Linked DNA regions of Danio rerio. The protein of the gene in region 2 interacts with the protein of the main gene of each other region in a biochemical or structural test. Links are inferred from orthologs where the notes say so. Each region holds a gene or a part of one and is shown on either strand. Other genes may lie near its edges. The genes, in order: anapc4 and cdc27.

Region 1 (10,364 bases), on a different chromosome or scaffold from region 2:
GTAATTGCATCCTCAATAACCTGTGGGGGGATCCTCTGCCATAATTCAGGGAAAGTGTTTGGTCGGACATACCGCACATTGGTGAAACATTAATAAGAGACACTGAGCAAAGCGAAGCCCTTTAACCAACATCTCTGAAAAAACACACCTCAGCTCTGCAGAAGAACTGGCTAGTGTGTGTGAACACTCCATGCTCATGTCTGAGACACGTTAATGTGTTCCTGCTAACTTTACTTGAACTACATTTCCACAGTAGACGCTTGTTTGTACGTGTATTTAATATTTATGGCCTTTTAATTGACATGCTGTCTCTGCAGGTTTTGTTATAGCCCACTTTGTTCACACAATGTTTATGTTAAGAGACCAGGTGTTGCATGTAAAGGTGTGTGGGCATGTGTATATATGAAGAGACGTGACAGTGTGACTTTCTCCCCGTCATGGCGTCCTGAAGGCCAGCTGTTGTTATTTTTAATCCTCAAGGGCTGCATTTCACAGCAGCAACCACCTCCCCTCCAAGAGTCCTTTTTTTACATATAAGCACGCACACACGCGCTGCTTCTATATTATTCATGTGGAAATTTTGCCATCTTTAGTGTGGATCAATGAATTATAGATAGCGGAATATTAATGTGACAAGCCAAACAATTGTCAAAGCCGAGACTGTCATGCTTAATTTTCCATTTCTGAGGCAAGGTGAATGTACTTCATCTGAGTTGTTAGTAAATGCACTAATGCTGGATGAAATTTAATGAAATGGCAAATTGAGTATTTAAATAAATAATGCAGATTATCATCAGCTCTCATTTGAGATCTGTTCTGAGCCTAAGAAGTATTTTAACATAAATACAATTTTTAGAAATAGAACCAAATGACTTATATGGGATTTTCTAATTCAATTACTAATTTTAATTACAGTATATCAATACAAAGTAAACTAGAAGTTTACCTTAAGTCAATTTCTGCAAATGTTGATCCCAGTCGGAAGGTTCCAGTTTTCCTGATGTTTTCTATCCCAGAAAATTAGAGAAGATGCTCCTAACATCAAGGAGCTTTGGGTCTTTTCTCCGTCCTGTTTTTCTTTTGTCTTGTTTTGCCGAGTGGTCTGAGGTGAGCCGGTTAGAGTGGCTGCAGAGTGGCCTGCTGTCCCATCTGTCTCGGGCCCTGACCGCTTACTGAGCACCGCTAAATTTGTCCCCTAGCTCAGGTTACACATCGAGAGAGAGAGAGAGAAAGAGAGAGAGAGGGAGAGAGATGGGGTGTGTAGCATCCATGTTCAGCCCACACCACATCAAAGACACACATACATCATTTTCATATCCACAATGGCATGTAAATGTATTTTGCAGACATACACTTTATTGTTTGGTTCAAAACAACCACCAAATCACTGTCTGACAACTGTGCAAACGTATGGCAGCAAGTTGGAGCAAAGATAACATACCAAATATAACAGCAAATTTCATTTAATTAAAGGGATAGTTCACCATTTACACATGCTCAAGGAGTTCTAATGAATTTTATTTTTGTCTGTTGAACACAAAACAAGTTATTCTGAAGAATGTTGGAAACCAGCAGCTTTTGGCATCCACAGTAGAAACAAAAAATACTCAGGAAGTCAATGGCTGCTGCTTTCCAACATTCTTCAATATATCTTCTTTTGGGTTCAACAACCAGCTAATCAAGGTATACTATAAACTTCCTGGCAGGTGTGTTGAAGCAAGTTGGAGATAAGTTTGAACAACCATGTTATTAAAGGCAAATAAATATTTCCTCATCATTTGCTCACCCACCCAGGTTCCAAATCTTAAAATAAAAAAATGTTGAAAACTAGCCATTGAAATCCATAGTAAGTTTGTGTTCAACAGCAGAAAGAAGAAAAACAAAAGTTTTTGGTGAACTGTCTCTTTAAGCATACACTGTTTATGTAGTAACATCTGTCCAAGAAACGTACTAGTCTGCTTGATCACTTAAATTTTACCTTTTTTATGCATTTTTTATGCCATTTTATTTTAAATATTCTGATTTAAATAATCATTTATAGACTTAGACACGATACTTTTAGAACCAACATGTATTAGTCATCAAAGACCTTAATTTAACCTCATATCAATAGCTCAGCCACATTAAAACACCCTGCCATTAAAAGAGTACTTTATATAGGAATGAGGACACAACAAACTGTAATGCCCTGCTACAAGGTAAGCTTAGAAGCTATGTGCATTGCTAGACTATTACCATCACTTACTCTCTATATTTGATAATATAGCAAGATTAGTTATTAGCTATGGATGTGTGTCACTCTCTGGCTGACTATCATGGAAATTTATGTTGTACACGTTGACTGGAAATATCTGCTGATTTTTGCATTGAGTCAAAAAGCATGTCAAAATCAGGCTTCTCAGAAATGCGAGAGAGTAAACACATAGATACTCAGTATGACCAGTTCATATGTCATCAATAGCAGCTCACTTCTTTGATTAACTACATCAGAAGTGAATCATATTGCAATTCACCGAATGATATCCCAGACCACCTTTGGGTGAACTCTGATTTGGGTTCAGGAAACAGCGTGCGCATTATCAAACAATCCAAAGTCAGATGTTAAACAAGCTGGTGTTAAAGAGTGCTAGTGTAAAAGTCCTGACCAAAAATGGAAATACCTTTGGTCCTGGTTGGCTGTTTCCACTGTACAGGCTGAGTCTAAAGCTGCAAAACAAATACAAACAGCTTATATGATGTATATTTTTTTCGACAGGACTAACTGAACATCCGAAATGATGCTAGGTTAAATGTGCTTGTTGTATGTGCAAACAGGTAATGATATTTTATAGCTTACATTGCAACTTTAGCAAGAAGAGAACAGGTATGTTCGCATTCTGTTGTGACATCATGTCCTGTTTTGGGTTTGTACAGGTTTGTGGTCCATTCTATGATTAAAGTTCAATCAAAGTCCACCAAAGTTTGTTTGGTGCTCAGGATTCAGATGGCAAAACCAAACCTGCCAAGTGTGAATAGTGTTAATGAAACATAAGCTCCATTTCAAAACAGCAACCAGGACATTAATTGTGATTTTTCTAAGTGTTTCATGAAAGAAATTTATACAGGTTTGGAAATGAATTAGATACACAATTTTTGTCTGTGTGTGTGAAGTTTTAGTCTTTAACTTTGGTTTAAGAGAGGTGTTTAAGACGAAGCACAGATGCTGACCGTGAGTGGCGCAGTAGCTGTCTATTTCAGGATACTTATCACATTCACTTCATAACACTGACAGCAAAGAGCTATTCTTGTTTCTTAACAATCATGCACTGATTACGGCTGAGTCTCAATGACAGAAAGGAGATCTGTCACTCGAAGGTCTGTCATAGTGTAAGCGTCCAGACCACTGGCTCATTCAGAGAATTATTCCAGTGTCTCAGTGAGCAGAATGAGGGATTTTATTTGTATTTGATACAGTCTCATTATTCTGAAATGCAGTAGGACTGTTTGGCACTGAAAATTATCCTAATGAAATTAATAAAAAATGATTTCATGAAAACATGATACTATAATGTTGGGCATAGTTAGAACAAAACAAAACAAAATATTCTGCCCACATACAATAACATAAAACCTTGTTTTTTTGTTTCTTTGGTTAAATAAAGTACGTAAAACCAATCAAAACCACAAAAAAGCGGCAACATTTACCTAAATTCCTTACTGTATTTTGATTAAAGAAGCAACATAATGTTGTGCATATTCATGTAAAATATCTAGTATAATAACTTCTTTTTTTATTAAAAAGTATAGTATTGAGCACAATAAGCAGACTATTTTGCAAGTATGTTTGGTTTATTTTATACTACTGTTAATGCGTAGCTTTATAAGTATTTTGTGTATATACAATCTGCATTGACAACAAAAATTACAGACGTTTGTACATTCAAAAACTCAAGTTATAAGCAAAATCATCAGAATAATAACACCTTAAAAATATTAAATTATAATAAAGGAACGGTTCTAAATCCAAACACAAAACACCTTTCCCCTCCATTTTCAATCTTGTGTAAGACTTTTCACATATTCTCTCAATCAGGATTAATCCCATTTCAGTAATGATGTGTCAATACAACACAACGCAAATTGGGTTAACCTTATCAATTTGCACCTGTGTCATTTTGCCTAATAACCTTATTCTTCAAGGGTTCATGGAGCCTACTAGTTTACCCAGAAAACAACCAAACTGCATTAGTTAATACTTTATATAATGTGTTTGTTTAACATAAAAAGTAAAAAATAATATAATAAGTTTGCTGCTAGTCATTCCCAGACAGTCTTTTTGTCAATTACATTTTAGATTCAAATTATCATAATTAATTTTAATTCTGAATATTTATCATGGTCTGCAAATAATTCTAGGGCATAAGATTAACCGTGTCATTGTGTGTGTGTTTGTTAAACAACATTGTTACAGAAACGTATTTTAAGTGGGTTATTTTCTAAATATCAAATGAACAAACGTGCCTGACAAAAAACAAATCTTTCAAACATGCTCTTAACTTTGCATTCTTACCAATAATATTTTCTTGAAAATCCCGGTAATTCTAAAAACCTTCTCCGAAACATAACAATAATATTGCGATTAACCGGGTGGTTGAGGGATTTTGTCATATTTACCTTTTTTCTGGTATAAAAGTCATTTCGCGTTTTTAAAATGCACTTGTCATCTTGCGCTTTCCGTAGTCACAATTTCATTGGCGGGTCAGAGTCATGTTGTACTGCTACACACTATGATGAGTTTTCTGAATATCAATCTTTTTACAGTACAAATGAGAATATTATGATGCATTAAATCGCTTTCTCCAAACGTTTCAAACGAAGAATTGGATTGTGGAGTTTATTTTCATCCGTCATTTGTTTAGTAAGTAAGTGTAGTCTTAATATTAGGCTAATGTTGCGAAGCATCACATGTTTAACGTTAGCAGCCACTTAAGTTAAAATTTTGTTTATTTATTTAGTCTTTTGATGCCTGAAGGATTTCAGTTTACTACTTTGTAATCTGCGTTTAATATAACTACTGTCAAAGACGTCCAGCAGCAGCCGCAGATGACAGCAGTAACTTAGTCATGAGTGAACGGTATTGATACTGTCTGTACTATGGTAACTAACTTATTATTAGACTATTTGTCCATTCAACAGGATTCAGCAATGCCTGCGTTTCGGCAGGTTGGGGAGAAACAGCTCCCAAACCCTATTCTGTACATGGCCTGGTGTCCTAAAAGAGATCTGATCGCTTTGGCCAACACTACAGGAGAGGTTGGTCTTGCATAACTGTTACACACAAAGTTGGCTTTATATTCACACATTCTGACTTGCTTCTTATTATATAATTTCAGTAAAGTATTCTTTGCAAATTCGAAATGACATTATCAAATTGGCATATGCTAAAATCATAATCATATTAACAGCCAATGACCGTTGAAGTACAACATTGTTCAGACTCAAATAATTTGTGCTAATGTGGTTTTGAAGTTATGCAGATGTGTGATTTCAGACCGAAAGTTGAAATTGGCATGGTAAACAGTATAGGGGCTGTTAAAATCAACGAATTTGCGAATATATAAAGCAACTTTACCTCAAACATACACACTCATATCTGTCTTCAGTTAGAGCTGATTGTTATTGTCTGTAGGTCATTGTCATTTGACTTCATTGGACTGTTCTGTCATTACAGCTTCTTCTGCATCGGCTTGCCAACTTTCATCGGGTGTGGAGTTTACCTCCTAATGAGAACACAGGAAAAGAGATCACATCACTGGCCTGGAGACCCGATGGGAAAGGTAAACAAATACAGAATTTCAGTGGCTTATTACAGTGGACACATCAGGGTTATGATAGTTAGTGTAACTCATAAAAGTAAAACAAACCTTACTTGTAATAAATGTTGACGGAAAGTCGTTTAACCCTGTTTTCCAATTATAAAAAGAACACAATCAAACATAGGGAAGGAATAAATTTTAGAAGCTGTAATAGTTGTATAATTGTATTAAAATAACAATGTAAAAAAAACATTTACTTTTGGATTACTTTAATGTTTTGTCTTCATTTTGAACACACTAGTTTGTAGCACACAATGTTCAGGTCCTAGGTTTCACACAAATTTGACACTGTTTATATTGCTAATTTTTCTTACATTTTACAAATATTTTAGCAGTGTTATTAGATTTTTTTTGTTATTTGTGCTATTGTTTATTGTTACTAATAAATGCACTTGTCAAAAATTAGTCAAAACATTCTGATGCTGAATCAGTTACAGATATGACAAATAAAAAACAACTTTAAAAAATATTGAACTGCGGTATTTTAGAGAGAGTTGCATCTCTGTTGCATCTCGCCGGGTTATTGCTTTTTCCTACTCTATTAGCAAGACAAGCCATTTTTGTCCGATGGAAACAGGTACTACCTCAATCACATGACATGACTGAGAAATCTTTAGCTGCATAAAACAAATGCTTAAGAAGTTAAGATGTCTCAAATCTTTTTACAAGACCTGGAACCCTGTTTTAGACTACATCAAATGGCTTTCCCGGTTTATATCAGCTCTAATACACAGTAAATAACCAGAAAGAGGAAATACTGACTCCTTCATGCAAACTTTTCTTCTTCTTTTTTACTCTTTTATTGTAAACTTGCTCAATTATTATAATTTTATTTTATTACATTTTATTTATATATATTTTTTAATTTATGTATTTTTTCACAAAGACTATAGGATACACAAAACTTATTACTTGTTCATTTTTAAATGTGGAAAAGTGTAAAGGTTCATTGAGCTGAATGCATTAAATAGTCAGTATAAAAAAAGGTTGAAGATAAACTTGTGCTAACAATCTAGCCTTTATAACCAAATTATTTAACAAAAGATGATTACTGCAGTAAAATATTTGTAGTTTTTTAATAAGCATGATATATACAAGATAGAGAGGGTATGAAAAGTTAATTTGTCCAGTAATAAACACCAAACACACGTGGTTGTGGTTGAGGAATTTTTCCTCTGTTGTATTGTTAAACACCAATAAAATATATTGAACTGCTTTTGTAACAGAAAAAAAGATCTACATTCTGACTTATTTAAGCTACCATTGTCATTTTAATTGAAGTAAAGTTGGTTTTATTTTCGCAAATTTGTACTTTCACCTTAATAATATAATTTTCGAAAGGTTTTCTTTGCAAATTCTAAAAAGGCAAATTATATTAGCAGCCAGTGACTATCAAAGTAAAACGTTGTTCACAGTCAAATAAATAGTGCTAATGTTGTTTTGAATTTCATTTGAATTTGTTTATTTCAGACTACATATTCAAAGCAGCATGCTAAATGATATAGGGACAATGTCACAAGTTGACACTGTAATGAATTTATGAGTGTAAAACCAACTCTACCTCAATGTCATGTTACGTGATTATCCACATTGGATCGTTGTGTGCAGTTCTAGCGTTCAGTGTGGGCGACACAAAGCAGGTGGTCCTGTGTGATGCAGAAAAGGCTGAAATCCTCCATCTGTTCCCTGTGGAATATCCAGCATCCTGCATGCACTGGATGGAGGTGCAAGATGACAGCAGGTGTGATTTTTGACATGGTATTGTTTTCTTTCTGCATTGATTCCATAGGTTGATTGGTTTTATATTTTCCTCTAGCACATTGACCTCATTCAGCGAGTCTGAGGATGAGTCAAGCCGTTTTCTTCCAAAGTTACCCACTTTACCTAAAAGGTGAGACTCTGAGCACAAGATTTGTCCACTAGAGAGCTGATTGAGAAATGCTTGGGTCACTCATTTGTTTTTGTTTTTTATGTTTAAATGTTTTTTATGGCTTTTCCATTTTCCTTTGTGCCATGTTTCTGTTCAGCTACAGCACCACATCAAAGATATTTAGGTAAGAAGACACTTAATGTGCTTAAATGCTGATTATTTGCTATTTCTTTAGCTTACTCTTTTTTTATTCACTTTTATTTTGAAATGGTCATCTGCATGTGGCTTGTGCATATATGACTGTGTGTGTGCGTGCGTACGCTCTGGTTTTTTCTTATGTGACGTTTTCTCCCTCACAGTGAAGAAAAATCAGAAGAAGTGACAAACCTTTTAGGGGAAGTGAGGTCAGTTTTGCATGTATTTGAGCTGAATGATTGTAGGCTTTGGACTCTGCTTATGTTGCATTGTGATCGTTGATGCTTTGTTTTGCAGACTCAATATCCTGGTTGTTGGAGGACCATCTGGATTTGTTGAGCTGTATGCTTACGGCCTGTATAAGATTGCAACATTAAGTGGGGTAAGTTATAAATAAAAACTTGAACATGTTTTTTTCTTTGCAAATGCTTATGTTTAAGTTTATTATTAGTGTTAAAAATAATAAATAAGTGGTAAAAGATAGGTTATTTTTAAAAATGATTGAAAAACAATTCCAGAAATGCTAACTTAAATGTTTTAATAATTGTGAGTCTATAGCTTGCATTTCTGAAAGAACAGAAGTCAGAGTGCTGATGGGAAAAAAGCCAGAATTTTAACATCTTTATTTTGCAAGTTTAATTTGTTTTTAATTTAACTTGTAATTCAGTTTTTTTTTTCAGAATTATAAGGTAAAAGCTTTTTTTTTTTTAATTGCATGAAAAGAAATACAGAACTTGAATATTTGTAAATAAATTGAAAAGAACCAAATACATGGATTTCTTTAATCCAGTAGTGAAAACATGTTTCTGTAGGGTATAGAGTTTATAACTAGCTGTACAAGCAATCAATATTTTTAAATCTAGATAGTTATGTAAACAAGTTGTTTATGTAGAATAATGACATCATTTATTATTTATGTTTATTTTTTTCTCAGATCTTAGGGACGTGCCGTAGTCTTGGACTGTCTAGTGACCTCAAGTCTCTCTCTGTTATTACAGAGATTAGATCCACAGACGACAACCCTGAGATTCGTTACATACAGGTGAAAGCTTTTAATGTGTGTGTGTGTGTGTGTGTGTGTGTGTGTGTGTGTGTGTGTGTGTGTGTGTGTGTGTGTGTGTGTGTGTGTGTGTGTGTGTGTGTAGTTGAAGTCAGAATTATTAGCCCCCCTCTCAATTTATTTTTTTATTAGAGCAAGGAAATTTTCACAGTATGTCTGATAATATTTTTTTCTTCTGGTGAAAGTCTTATTTGTTTTATCTCGGCTAGAAACAAGCACTTTAAATTTAAAAAAAAAAATCATTTTAGGGTCAAAATTACTATACCCCTTTAAGCTATTTTTTTTTCAATAGTCTACAAAACAAACCATCATTATACAATAACTTGCCTAATGTGCCTAGTTAACCTAATTAATCTAGTTAAGCCTTTAAATGTCACTTTAAGCTGTACAGAATATATATATATAAGTGGAGGGCCGTTATCGGCATAACCGTGCTTCGTTAACGCAAGACTCTTATAGGGCGATCAAAAAAATATCACCGTTAATCTATTCTCAAAGTTGGGTTGGGAGCTGGGTCTGTTCTACGCAAGCTATGATGACATTCATCAAACATGACGTGCTAACATGAATGCAGTTCACTAGAGTGAATCTGATTAATGTTAGCTCCACATCTAGCTATCAGGCACCGGTAGAGTTTATGCGTTCGAGTAAAACATACAAATAAAATAGAGCGGTTGCTTTTCAACATGAATGACGCTGAATGTAAGTCAAACCGGTGAGCCGTCTGACAATAAAAAGTCCCCTTCTGGATCAAATCATTAGGATGCCCTTCTAAATCTTTCACTTACTACGCTTGCATTTATCTTAATAGACAATGATATAATTAAGGTGTTTACGTGAAGTGCTTTCATGTAAGAGTTTCCTGTAATTTTGGGTGACTTTAACTGCAATTTGGCAGTTTCACATTCACTCATGAACATTTCCCTGTGCATACTCCACGTCTTAATTTAATTTCTGTTTAGTTCTATTATGACTTTAGTCGGATTAAGGTAATCAAAATTCTGAATGCCTTCAGCAGAATTTAAATGAGCCATTTTAATCTAGATTAATTCCAAGATTGCAGTGATCAACTAGATTAATCTAGATATAAAAAATTAAGATTAATCTAGATATAAAAAAAAAAACATCTATGTCCATGTCCACCTACAGTTGATGTCAGAATTATTAGCCCCCATGTTTATTTTTTCCCCTACATTCTGTTTAACGTAGAGAAGATTTTTTTTAACACATTTTTAAACATAATAGTTTTAATATCTCATCTCTAATGACTGATTTTTTTTTTCTTTGCCATGATGACACTAAATAATATTTTACTAGATATTTTTCGAGACAATTCTATACAGCTTAAAGTGCCATGTAAAGGCTTAACTAGGTTAATTAGGTT
Region 2 (9,698 bases):
TACGTTTTATTTCAAAAACACGTAAGGTAAGTTAACGTTACCTATCTAGTGAGCATTTCAGTATGCTATCTAGTTAGGCAGCTTTCCAGGTTTTGAACCAGAACCACTAACGTACAAATTCAATACGTAAATAAAAACTTGTAAAGCAAGGAAATGGGAGATTATGAATAATAGTATAACTATTGTCGTTCTTTAAATTAGTTTTAAAATAAAGTCCGCTGTTAATTTGTTTAACTCATTGGCCCGGTCGCTGTAGGTTTAGCATGCTAACATCATCAGCTGATAGTCTCTGCTGTATTACAGCCTTTCTTTCATCACCCCTCACATCTTGAAGACGAATTAAACGGATAAATGTTTAGCTAGCATTCTCACTTGTAACCTACAGTAAAAAACAAATTTTGTAATGGTTATCTTTTTTTGTAGGTTAATTCTGAAAGAGCGAGAGATTTTTTTGAACCCAAACAATTTTTGGCCTGTTGACTGCAATCTCCGGGATGAAATTACTTTGTCATAACGTCTACCGCACGCTAAATGAGAAGAAAAATGAAACAACGTTTTCCTCTAGACTTTAATCAACATTTTACGCTGAAAGCGATATTTTGCCCATACTAAAAAAGCGAAAAGAAGTACATTTCAAATGACAGAGTACAGAATTCACGTTCACTTACCTGCACAGATCAACCAGACTTGAGCCGGAAATACTGCCTCATTTCAACCGCTGATTGGTCCATAGGAGGAAAGGCAGCAGCTGATTGGCTGCTTCGTGTGTTTTTTAGCAAGAGATCGGCTTACGGGTGAAAGTAAAAAACTGTAACTTTGCAACAAGAGTTGATTTTTGTTTATGTGTTCTAAGCCATCGTGTGCTAAATGTGCACGTAGCCAACATACAGTCACGTCTGAACATACAAAACATATTATAGTTTAATATCAGTTTCTTTGTTTTCTGTTGTCATTCTCGCAAGCGAATTTATTAACGTCAACGCTTGTATATGGAAATAAATGAATATCATTAGACATTATCAATATAGTAGTAACATCTAGAATCAATTTATCAATACCGAAGCCTTCGTTCATCGCGCACAGAAGGAAGACCACTTTATAGTCGTCGTTTTCATAGCATCAGCAACTGGGGCAGACATGGCAATAGCGTGTAAACAATGATGATTTTAACAATCAATGCACTTCTAAAGCGTTATTAATTGGCGCACAGAGGTTTCTGTTACCTCAATGATCACATCAGGGCCTTCAGTCAAAGTTGTTTATTCTATTACCTTAATTGTACATAATTTCTTAAAATGTACAATAAGAAGCATTTAGCAGAGATCAAAAACATTTCATAATAATAAACATGTTCTGGTAAAATAAAAACCATGAAGATACTTTGTGCACATTTACTATGTTCATCAGTATTGTCCTCAACAGCACCAACATTTCAGTATATTGTCTCATGAAGTCTGACCACTGGTCACTGTGCCATACAATAGGGTAATTCATTTGGACACTCTAGAGTGGTTTCACAGTAAAGATAACAATTTAAACAAAATTCTCTGATCGATGTCTTGCAGCTGGGCAAAATAATAATCAAATATGATTCAGGTGTTTGAAAGTTGACATCACTTAGAGCGAAACATGAGTGTGAGGCAAATTGTTCAGTTTAACACTAACAGTATTTGACAATTGCTCAAACAAAATCCAGATCAATCCATATCATTCAGAACTAGCTGTTTCTACAGTTAACTTTGTTTTTTTTTCCCATCTAACAGATGGCAATCTGAAAGATTAGCAGATGAATCTCATGCCAAACTTTTGATGTGGGCAGAAAGTGCTTTTTTCTTCTCTCCCGGCACTTTCAAGATGTGACAGGGAGGGGAGAGGAATTAAAGGACTACCAACTCTTGCACAAGTCTTTATTCAGGGTAAATGTCGATAAAATAACATGAAATGCCTAAGCATTAAGACAGGTACATCCATGAAAGTCTGTGGAGCTGTGTGAAGTTAAGTAAGTCAATTAGCCTGTTGAGAAGACGGTGGAGTCATGGGCAAATCTGGGCAATTTGAGCTCAGGCAGAACTTGAATTGTTCAAGCGACTGTGTCTGTGATAAAAGGACACCTGCCAGTTGTGATAGGAGATGAGACAGGACCAGAAGATCAGACCGATGAGAGACCTCTAAGGCATGACGACAAGAGGTGGGGGAGGGTGGGAAAAAAGGCAAGAACGAATGAAGAAAATGAAATGACAAAAATGAGGAGGTACTGTTATTAGCAGCAGTTTGTTTTCCTTTTTTCTTCTTCCTCCTGTTTTTTTTTTGAGCTGGAGTCTTCGAATAGCCCCCAAATTGGCATTATTTGAAAGTCCAGAGTGGTGTCAGGGGGCTAGAGAACCTCGTCGCTCTCCGTCGTGTGGAGCTGAGTGTCGTCAGCGTCCGTCATACTGCTCTCCTGTGATTCCTCCACCTCCGCTGCAGAGACCAACAAACAGCATTACACCGAGCACACAGCCCTGCATTAATGACTCACTGAGCTGGAGACTTACTTGAGCAGTAGGGATAGTCATCAGGAGTGACAGGCTCATCATCATCTGGGAGGTATCGCTTATCTATGGCCTCTTTGATCTGATTATTGGCCCCTTTGGGGTCCAAGTCCATGGCCCAGGAAAAGTTCATTAATGCCAGATGAGTCTGGCCAAGCTTCTTATAGACCTATAGAGATGACGAACATTTGATTCAGGAGTTTCCAAACAGGGACATTAGCGGTTACAAGATGTTAAATGAAATCAAGTAAGCCGTTTTGCTGTAGGTGTACCTTTCCTATTAAGAAGTAAACAAGGGACTCTTTGGGCACTATTTGTTTCAGCTCTTCAAGCTCCTGCAGAGCCGCCTGTAAAGAATAGACTGGTCATTTAACTTTTCAAACTATTTATAGTGTTAGTCAACATGTTAAAAGAGCAAAGAGCAATTTCTGAGAAACTAGAACATTTCGACAACACCAAGCCCATTTTGTGAATAGTAGTTTGCTGTCTGTTTTGCGTGTACTGAAAAAAAATAAATACATAAAAAAGCAGCTTGTCTGTATAAAGCCATGGCTGTTTAAACAGTGCACTGGAAATGAGTGATGAGACCAAGTAGGAGCTTTAATATTGGCTACAGTAACAGGACAATTTCTTAGATGACCAAATCAAAGCAACAGTCCAAAACTAACACTCGAAACTGAGAATGCATACTTATAGTTAGACTAAATCTGCACTGTGGTTTGACTTTCACCAGCCCAATAATAGTGATTGATAAAACTGTGGGAGTGTCAAAGTTTAAGCACATGTCTGCAGTGTGGCTTCTCCTATGGTGATTGTAAAATCAATAACCAATCAAAGTGAAATTTTTTTTTCCAAAACATTTGTTTTTTTTCTCAATTTTCTTTTGAAGACAAGGGGGTCTTGAAAGTATTGGAGTTTGTGGCAACTGTTTAGCAACTGAGATCCCACAGTGTATCATGACTTAAAGCTGGTTAACTATTCATATAGACCAGTGATGCCCAAACTAGGATCTGCAAAAGTTGGCCCATGATAACCTTTGATTTGGCCCGCCATCCCAAATTAAGGGTTGGAGGAGGAATTGCCTTTAATAGAGATTGTCTTTTGTAATTTAATATAAGCTTTTGTTTGTTTTATTGTGATGCTACAAAAAAACAAGCTTGAATTAAATGTTTCAATTGAATGTTGTGAATGGGTCAGAGTATTTAAATGTGCACTGAAAGCCATGGTGTTGTAAATGGAATAGTTTCTTTTCATAGGGATACGTTAATTATAAAATATACAAAATTATAATGCAATAGTTAACCTCATATGATTATACATGATTAAGTAATTTCCATCTATAAGTATTATAAATATACATAAAAAAAAAAGAAAATTACCTATGGCAACTTTGTAATAGAGTTTGCTAGATTGACCTTCCGCCCACAGCTCTCAATGGACCCTTCGCTAAGCCCCCCCTCCTTAGTTACTGTTGCTACGCCTGTCAAGCTTTCGTGCCTGGCACAGCTTTTTCAATGTGTGCGCCGGTGTCAATCATTGCCAGGGGTATAATGTTATTTTTGGCGAACAGGTGAGATATCCGAGAAAGCCAGACAATAAAGGACTGCAGTATGCATTACAGGGGTATATTCACCACATAATAGGCAACCGATTAGAGAATAAATCAATTAAAATTGAAGCTAGCTTAGCCTAGCCACCTCATACGCTGACCATTTAACAGCTTAGCTCATGCTCAGCAGGAGAGGGGAAATCTAAAAATAATCTAATAATAACAAATTAAACCGTGATTTCTCTATTTTTAGCCAAAAAGCCTGATGGATTAATTGTTGTGCAATGAAATGGAGTTACTAACCGATGAAGAAACATGCATGACAGTGCTTTTACATAGTTCATTCATAGAAAGAACAGCCAGAAAGGGAAACTGATGGATTTGTGTCGAATATTAGCATCATTGACTCATAACAATAAGTTACCTATTACTGTCAGTATGTTTGTGTGCTCTTTATAAATGACTGAAAAACAGCAGCTGCGGGTAAAGTATATTGATCTGCTGCTCAGTTTGTGATCATATCTCGGTTTTGTTCTGCTAATTTGTCATTTCTAATATTCATAGCTTGAAACAGATGGAAATATGACGTTCAGTAAAGTTAGCAACAGATTCGCAGATTTGTATTTTCCGAATCAATAACTCTTGTCATTATGACTTATTCGCTATTATGACTAAGTTACTAACGTTATGGCGAAGGCTTAAACGGAGCATTACTCACAATAGAGCAAAAAAAAAAAAGGAATAAGAAAGCTGTGAAACATAACCAGCTTTGTGTTTTTGTAGGAAACACAGTTTAGTTCTGTTTAGGGTAAGAGGTTTGTGAGTTATTGCCGTCTGTCTGTCACTGAATGTGTCAGGAATATCAAAACAAAATCAACTTAGCTCTGCTCTTTTAGTGCCCCTCACACTGCTTGATCCACGCTAGTATTTCTCCTTTTGGATTTTAGGTTTTGAAAAGGGGAAAAATTCCACCGCCCAGTCCAAACTCTAAGGATACCGGGTATCAGATTTGCACAATCCATATGCACTCGCTCGAAAACTTGACAGAGCCCCTGCGCGTAGCTACAGTTGCTAAGCCACGATTGGTGGGTGGCAGTTATTGGGCAGGGCTTAGCGAAGGGTCAATTATGTTTGGTTTTGGCCATGCATAGGAAACGTTTGAGCACCCCTGATATTGACCCTATTCTTAAATGTGATAGTGCACTCGTTTTTGCGATTGTTTAAGAACTTCTGATTCAGTCGTCTATCGGAGAAATGACTAGGAATAATAAACGGCAAATAAACGGTCCTCTATAAGCAAGTATGTTCATGACAACACGGACGAAGCAGAATAGTAAAACAAAAAAAGATCAGTTTGCAACATCAAGCAGAAGAAAGAACGGTTTTTAATGTCACAAAAATGAATGGAAGTGAATGAGACCAGCAGTCTCCAGCCAAAAAGATTCAAACGGCTGTGCTCGCTCATACACGTAGAATAAGGTGAATAGATTGACGAGCAACAATCGTAAAGAACTATTAAACTGCATATGGTTCACTCTGCAGTAGCGGTTGCCTGTTGTTTTGCATGTTTAAGTATTAAGGGGCGGTGTATTTTTGCTTTGATGTCAGATTTCAAATATAACAGAGTTTCTCAGAAATCACTCACTGCACCTAACATTATAGTACAAGTAGAGCAGTACCTTGTACTTTTCATTGGCAAACAGAATTGAGGCCCTATGGAATTTGCATAGCGGATTCTTAGGGTCGATGCTAATGGCTCTGTTAAGGGTCTCCAGTGCATGGTCTGATTTCTTCAAAGCATGTTGAACCTGACAGAGTACATGAGAAACAATATGAAGATGCAGCACAGCAAAAATCCTATCAGAAATTTTAAACAGTGATTATCATGTTATGTTTTATGCATAACCAAAAAGTACATAAAGGCTGATTTACTCACCACTCCGATATGACAGAGTAGCACAGAGCTCTGAGGATTGATGCTAAAAGCTTTCTTGAAATGAATCTCGGCTAGATTAAACTTCTCCTGCTTATAATAAATCATTCCCAAGCCATACCTGTGGTAAGAGACAGAAAGATGAAGTCTTTTTGCTTCTGAAATAGCAGATGGTACTTATCTGTCAGACAACTGGATAAGTAAAATGATTGTGAGTGAACGACTTATTTAATGGTTTTTTTTTGGTGTCATGTAAAGTAACAAACATACCAGGCATTGTAGTGACGTTTATTGAGGCGTATAGCATTGCGGAAGCAACCCAGGGCTTTCTCCAGCTCCTCTGTGAGAACCAGTTCATGCCCTAATAGTGTATAAGCGTAAGCAAAGCTGGGGTCCACCTGGATGGCCCGTGTGAAGAACTTAATGGCGATGTCATGCTCCCGCTGTAAGCTGAAACAGTTACCAACTACACACCAGGGCTGTAAAGAGGTGGAAAAACAAAAAGATAAGCAGCTGATTTACTGAACTGAATAATATTCCAACTAATAATTGCATTACTGCCTTGATAAACTTACCTCAGGTGAGTTTTTGTCCATGTCAGTGAGGTCTTTAGATAGGGCAGAAAGTGCCACATCCTTTTGTAAATGCCAAAGTGTTGTTGAGTAGATGTCCATACCCTCTACTCGATAGCTCTCTATACGTCGGACTTCTGAAAAAATCCTCTCCGCCTAATTAAACAGACAAAAATATCTTCTGTGAGAACAAACAAAAACATTTTCCACTACTTGCCATTATAATTTGAATGCCTTTGGTAATTGATTTCACCTCATTTCTGCAACGCAGACTCACCTGCATGTATTCAGCCAGTTCAAAGTGTGCTCGCCCGATCTGACCCAGCACCCAGCCCGTGTTGTAATGGTGTGAAGGTAGCTGACTCAAGATGTTAATGGCCTCTCGGCAGTTATAAGAGCAGAGAGCAAGATATCCCCTCCCAATATCCCGCATCAGGGTCATCAGCCCGTCTAAAGAAAACCGCAAACAAAATCAGCAACCTGCTTCAGGGTGTTGCTCAAATACAAGAGAAAAGAGAAAAATTAAGTAGCCCAAAGAGAAAATTAAGTAGTAGCTCAAAATCTAACACAAAAAAGCATGAATTAATAATATAAATAATGTACTTTCAACTTTATACATAAGTCTCTACGACAATGAAATGCTTATAATGTTCAGGATAATGCAGCATGTTTAGTTTTGTACTGTAAAGTTGTTCTACAAATAAATGGGAATAATTCAAACTATAATCAAAGTAAGAAAGTATATAGTCTCAAATACTCTTCTTATCACCACAATTTTGTTTTAATTACCCTGTAACGTCATGGATCACTATGATAATATGCTTTAAAAAAAAAAAAAAAAAAAAAAAAAAAAACAGTGTTCTCACCATGTAATTTTATTTTGTTTAATTTGTTATAGAAATGAAAGCACCAAACGCAAGTAGGGATACAACGATTAACCATTTTCACTATTAACCACTTTAATTTGTCACGGTTAATTAAACATAAGTTTCTCAACATCGTGTTTCTGCAAAGAACAAAACTGGTGCAACTAAACGTTCCTGCAACTGTGCGCTTGTTTAAAGTTCAGAGCTTGTACACAATGGCTAATATGCACGTACAATGGATTAGCTATGGCTGAGGATATTAACTAAGGGCCGTTCACATGTCGCATCTTTTGTGTGCTAAAGTTCGATATTTCTTTTTTTTGCGAGCATATTGGGAGTGACGTGCACACAACGCGCTCAAGCTTTTCAGGCGCACATAGTTGAAACAGGGCTTGAAATTGGTCTCATATGGGCCCAAAATTTTATCGATGCGACTTCAAATATATATTTTGTAGCATTTGGGCGAGTGCATAAATTGTTGCCGTGCGACCAGTTTTCACTGCAAAATGTTAATCGCATGCACGTATTTAAGAAAATTCATGCAGAAGGCATCTTTGCACCAAACACAGCGCTCAAGAAAAGTTTAAAACAGTTGACATGTGAACTTGCTGCAGTAAACAAATCCCACAATGCTTGCCCCGTCTTTAAGCTCTTCTGATTGGCCTCCTGCTCTAAAACACAACACGAATGGATTGGTTAATATCAGCTGTCAATCACTCAATTCAGATGACCGGGAGCTACAGCCACGAAAGCATAAAGGTCTGGATAAGAGACAATAAAAATAACACTGAGAGATTTTGTTTTAGAAATCACCTGAACTTACAAATAATGGCACATCTGATTAGTGATCATGGAGTGAATGTTAATCCACTATTTATACTTTTTCTAAGAGTGGATACAAGACTTCCAGTGGGTTAAAGTCCGCTATGAAAATGATGAAAGCATTCACTGTAAAGCTGGTTGGACAGTTTTCAGGTAACCGTGTTTGCCACATCAACACATTTTAAGCACGAGATCTTCTAACGTTGTTTCATCCATTAAATCCTCACAATGCTGTCAGTCGTGCGACTGGTACCGCATTCACCATCGCAAAAGAGCATGCATTCACTGAGATTAAACTACTGCATCTCATCGAAAGACCGTTATTGCTATTAAGATGACGTATGCAAATTAGTTATATGTTAAAATCATGTGTGCAATGTCAGAAACCACCCATGAGAACAGCAAAGTTATTATTGTTAACTCTGTTCATCCCATTCACATCAAGCAGTGCGTGCAGAGCCAGTGGGCTCATGCATATTGTTTTTCGTTTGTTAGTTTTGATTATAGTTCATTTCAAATGCAATACATTTGTTAATACAAAACTTATTTAATATAATAGTAACGGTGCTCATAATTGTTGGTAGGTGCTCCTAAATTTTGCCTGGTGCGCCTAAATTTCTGAAGTTAGGAGCACCGCTGCTACCAATAAAAAAAGGTTAATTTCGAGCCCTGTGAAAGAATTGCGTGAGCGCACCACAAGTCACATGACAAGAACCATTTAGCTTCATATTTTGTATGGAATATAAATATTCTACTCCAGAAAAAAAATAATAATAAATTCGAAACATGTTCATAATATAGTTGATCAAAAGTGCCTTTCAGACAGGGGTTTAGCAGCCTCTGACTACATTTGTTCTTATTTACTTATTCATTGTTCTGTCATTTATTTTCAGTTTAAAATTTCACTTTCACTTCTTTTTAAGTCCAAAGAGAAATGTGTGTTTTGAAATTACTGAATGTATAATCGTGATTATTGCTTAGACTATAATCTTACAACTAAAATTTATAATCGTTGCATCCCTGAGTTTTATCACTGAGTTTAGTCTGTTTGCAAACAGTATATTTTTTTCAGTATATAATTTGTATTTTATGGTATATGATCAGTAGATTACACATTTTTAATTTTCTAAGGTTTAAGTAGTTTTCAATCAAAAGAACAGTCTCCATTGCGTGTAATTGTGAGCAGCATGAACAATACGTTGTTAGTTGCAATTCACTTAACCCCTTAAAAAAAAAAGGTGAAGAATCGTCAGATACCTGCAGCAGCCTTTTGTAGATTAAAAGCCTGGAACTGCGGTGAACTGATGTTGCCTTTGCCCTCTGATAAGGATGAATCTAACTTGAGGATCTCGATGCTCTCATTCAGATTAGATGGGGTGATTCCTCCCTTACCCGTTTTCGTTTTGGTCTTTCGGTTAGGAATCT

What was found.
Region 1: the proteins of cdc27 (region 2) and anapc4 form a complex in vitro, tested with the Homo sapiens proteins (2 studies listed by BioGRID). The link is inferred for Danio rerio from reciprocal best matches to the Homo sapiens genes CDC27 and ANAPC4.

The regions. Positions count from the first base shown.
Region 1 is NC_133195.1:26,091,326-26,101,689, reverse strand, and holds the start of anapc4 (anaphase-promoting complex subunit 4), read left to right. Parts: upstream 1-4,740; 5' UTR 4,741-4,897; exon of another isoform or gene 4,898-4,901; intron 4,902-5,155; 5' UTR 5,156-5,184; coding exon 5,185-5,292; intron 5,293-5,710; coding exon 5,711-5,816; intron 5,817-7,463; coding exon 7,464-7,596; intron 7,597-7,671; coding exon 7,672-7,746; intron 7,747-7,882; coding exon of another isoform or gene 7,883-7,909; intron 7,910-8,084; coding exon 8,085-8,129; intron 8,130-8,217; coding exon 8,218-8,302; intron 8,303-8,854; coding exon 8,855-8,962; intron 8,963-10,364. UniProt on the Homo sapiens protein: Component of the anaphase promoting complex/cyclosome (APC/C), a cell cycle-regulated E3 ubiquitin ligase that controls progression through mitosis and the G1 phase of the cell cycle.
Region 2 is NC_133178.1:20,783,138-20,792,835, reverse strand, and holds the end of cdc27 (cell division cycle protein 27 homolog), read right to left. Parts: coding exon 9,531-9,698; intron 7,036-9,530; coding exon 6,863-7,035; intron 6,742-6,862; coding exon 6,589-6,741; intron 6,493-6,588; coding exon 6,284-6,492; intron 6,135-6,283; coding exon 6,017-6,134; intron 5,889-6,016; coding exon 5,760-5,888; intron 2,879-5,759; coding exon 2,804-2,878; intron 2,701-2,803; coding exon 2,535-2,700; intron 2,461-2,534; coding exon 2,375-2,460; 3' UTR 1,245-2,374; downstream 1-1,244. UniProt on the Homo sapiens protein: Component of the anaphase promoting complex/cyclosome (APC/C), a cell cycle-regulated E3 ubiquitin ligase that controls progression through mitosis and the G1 phase of the cell cycle.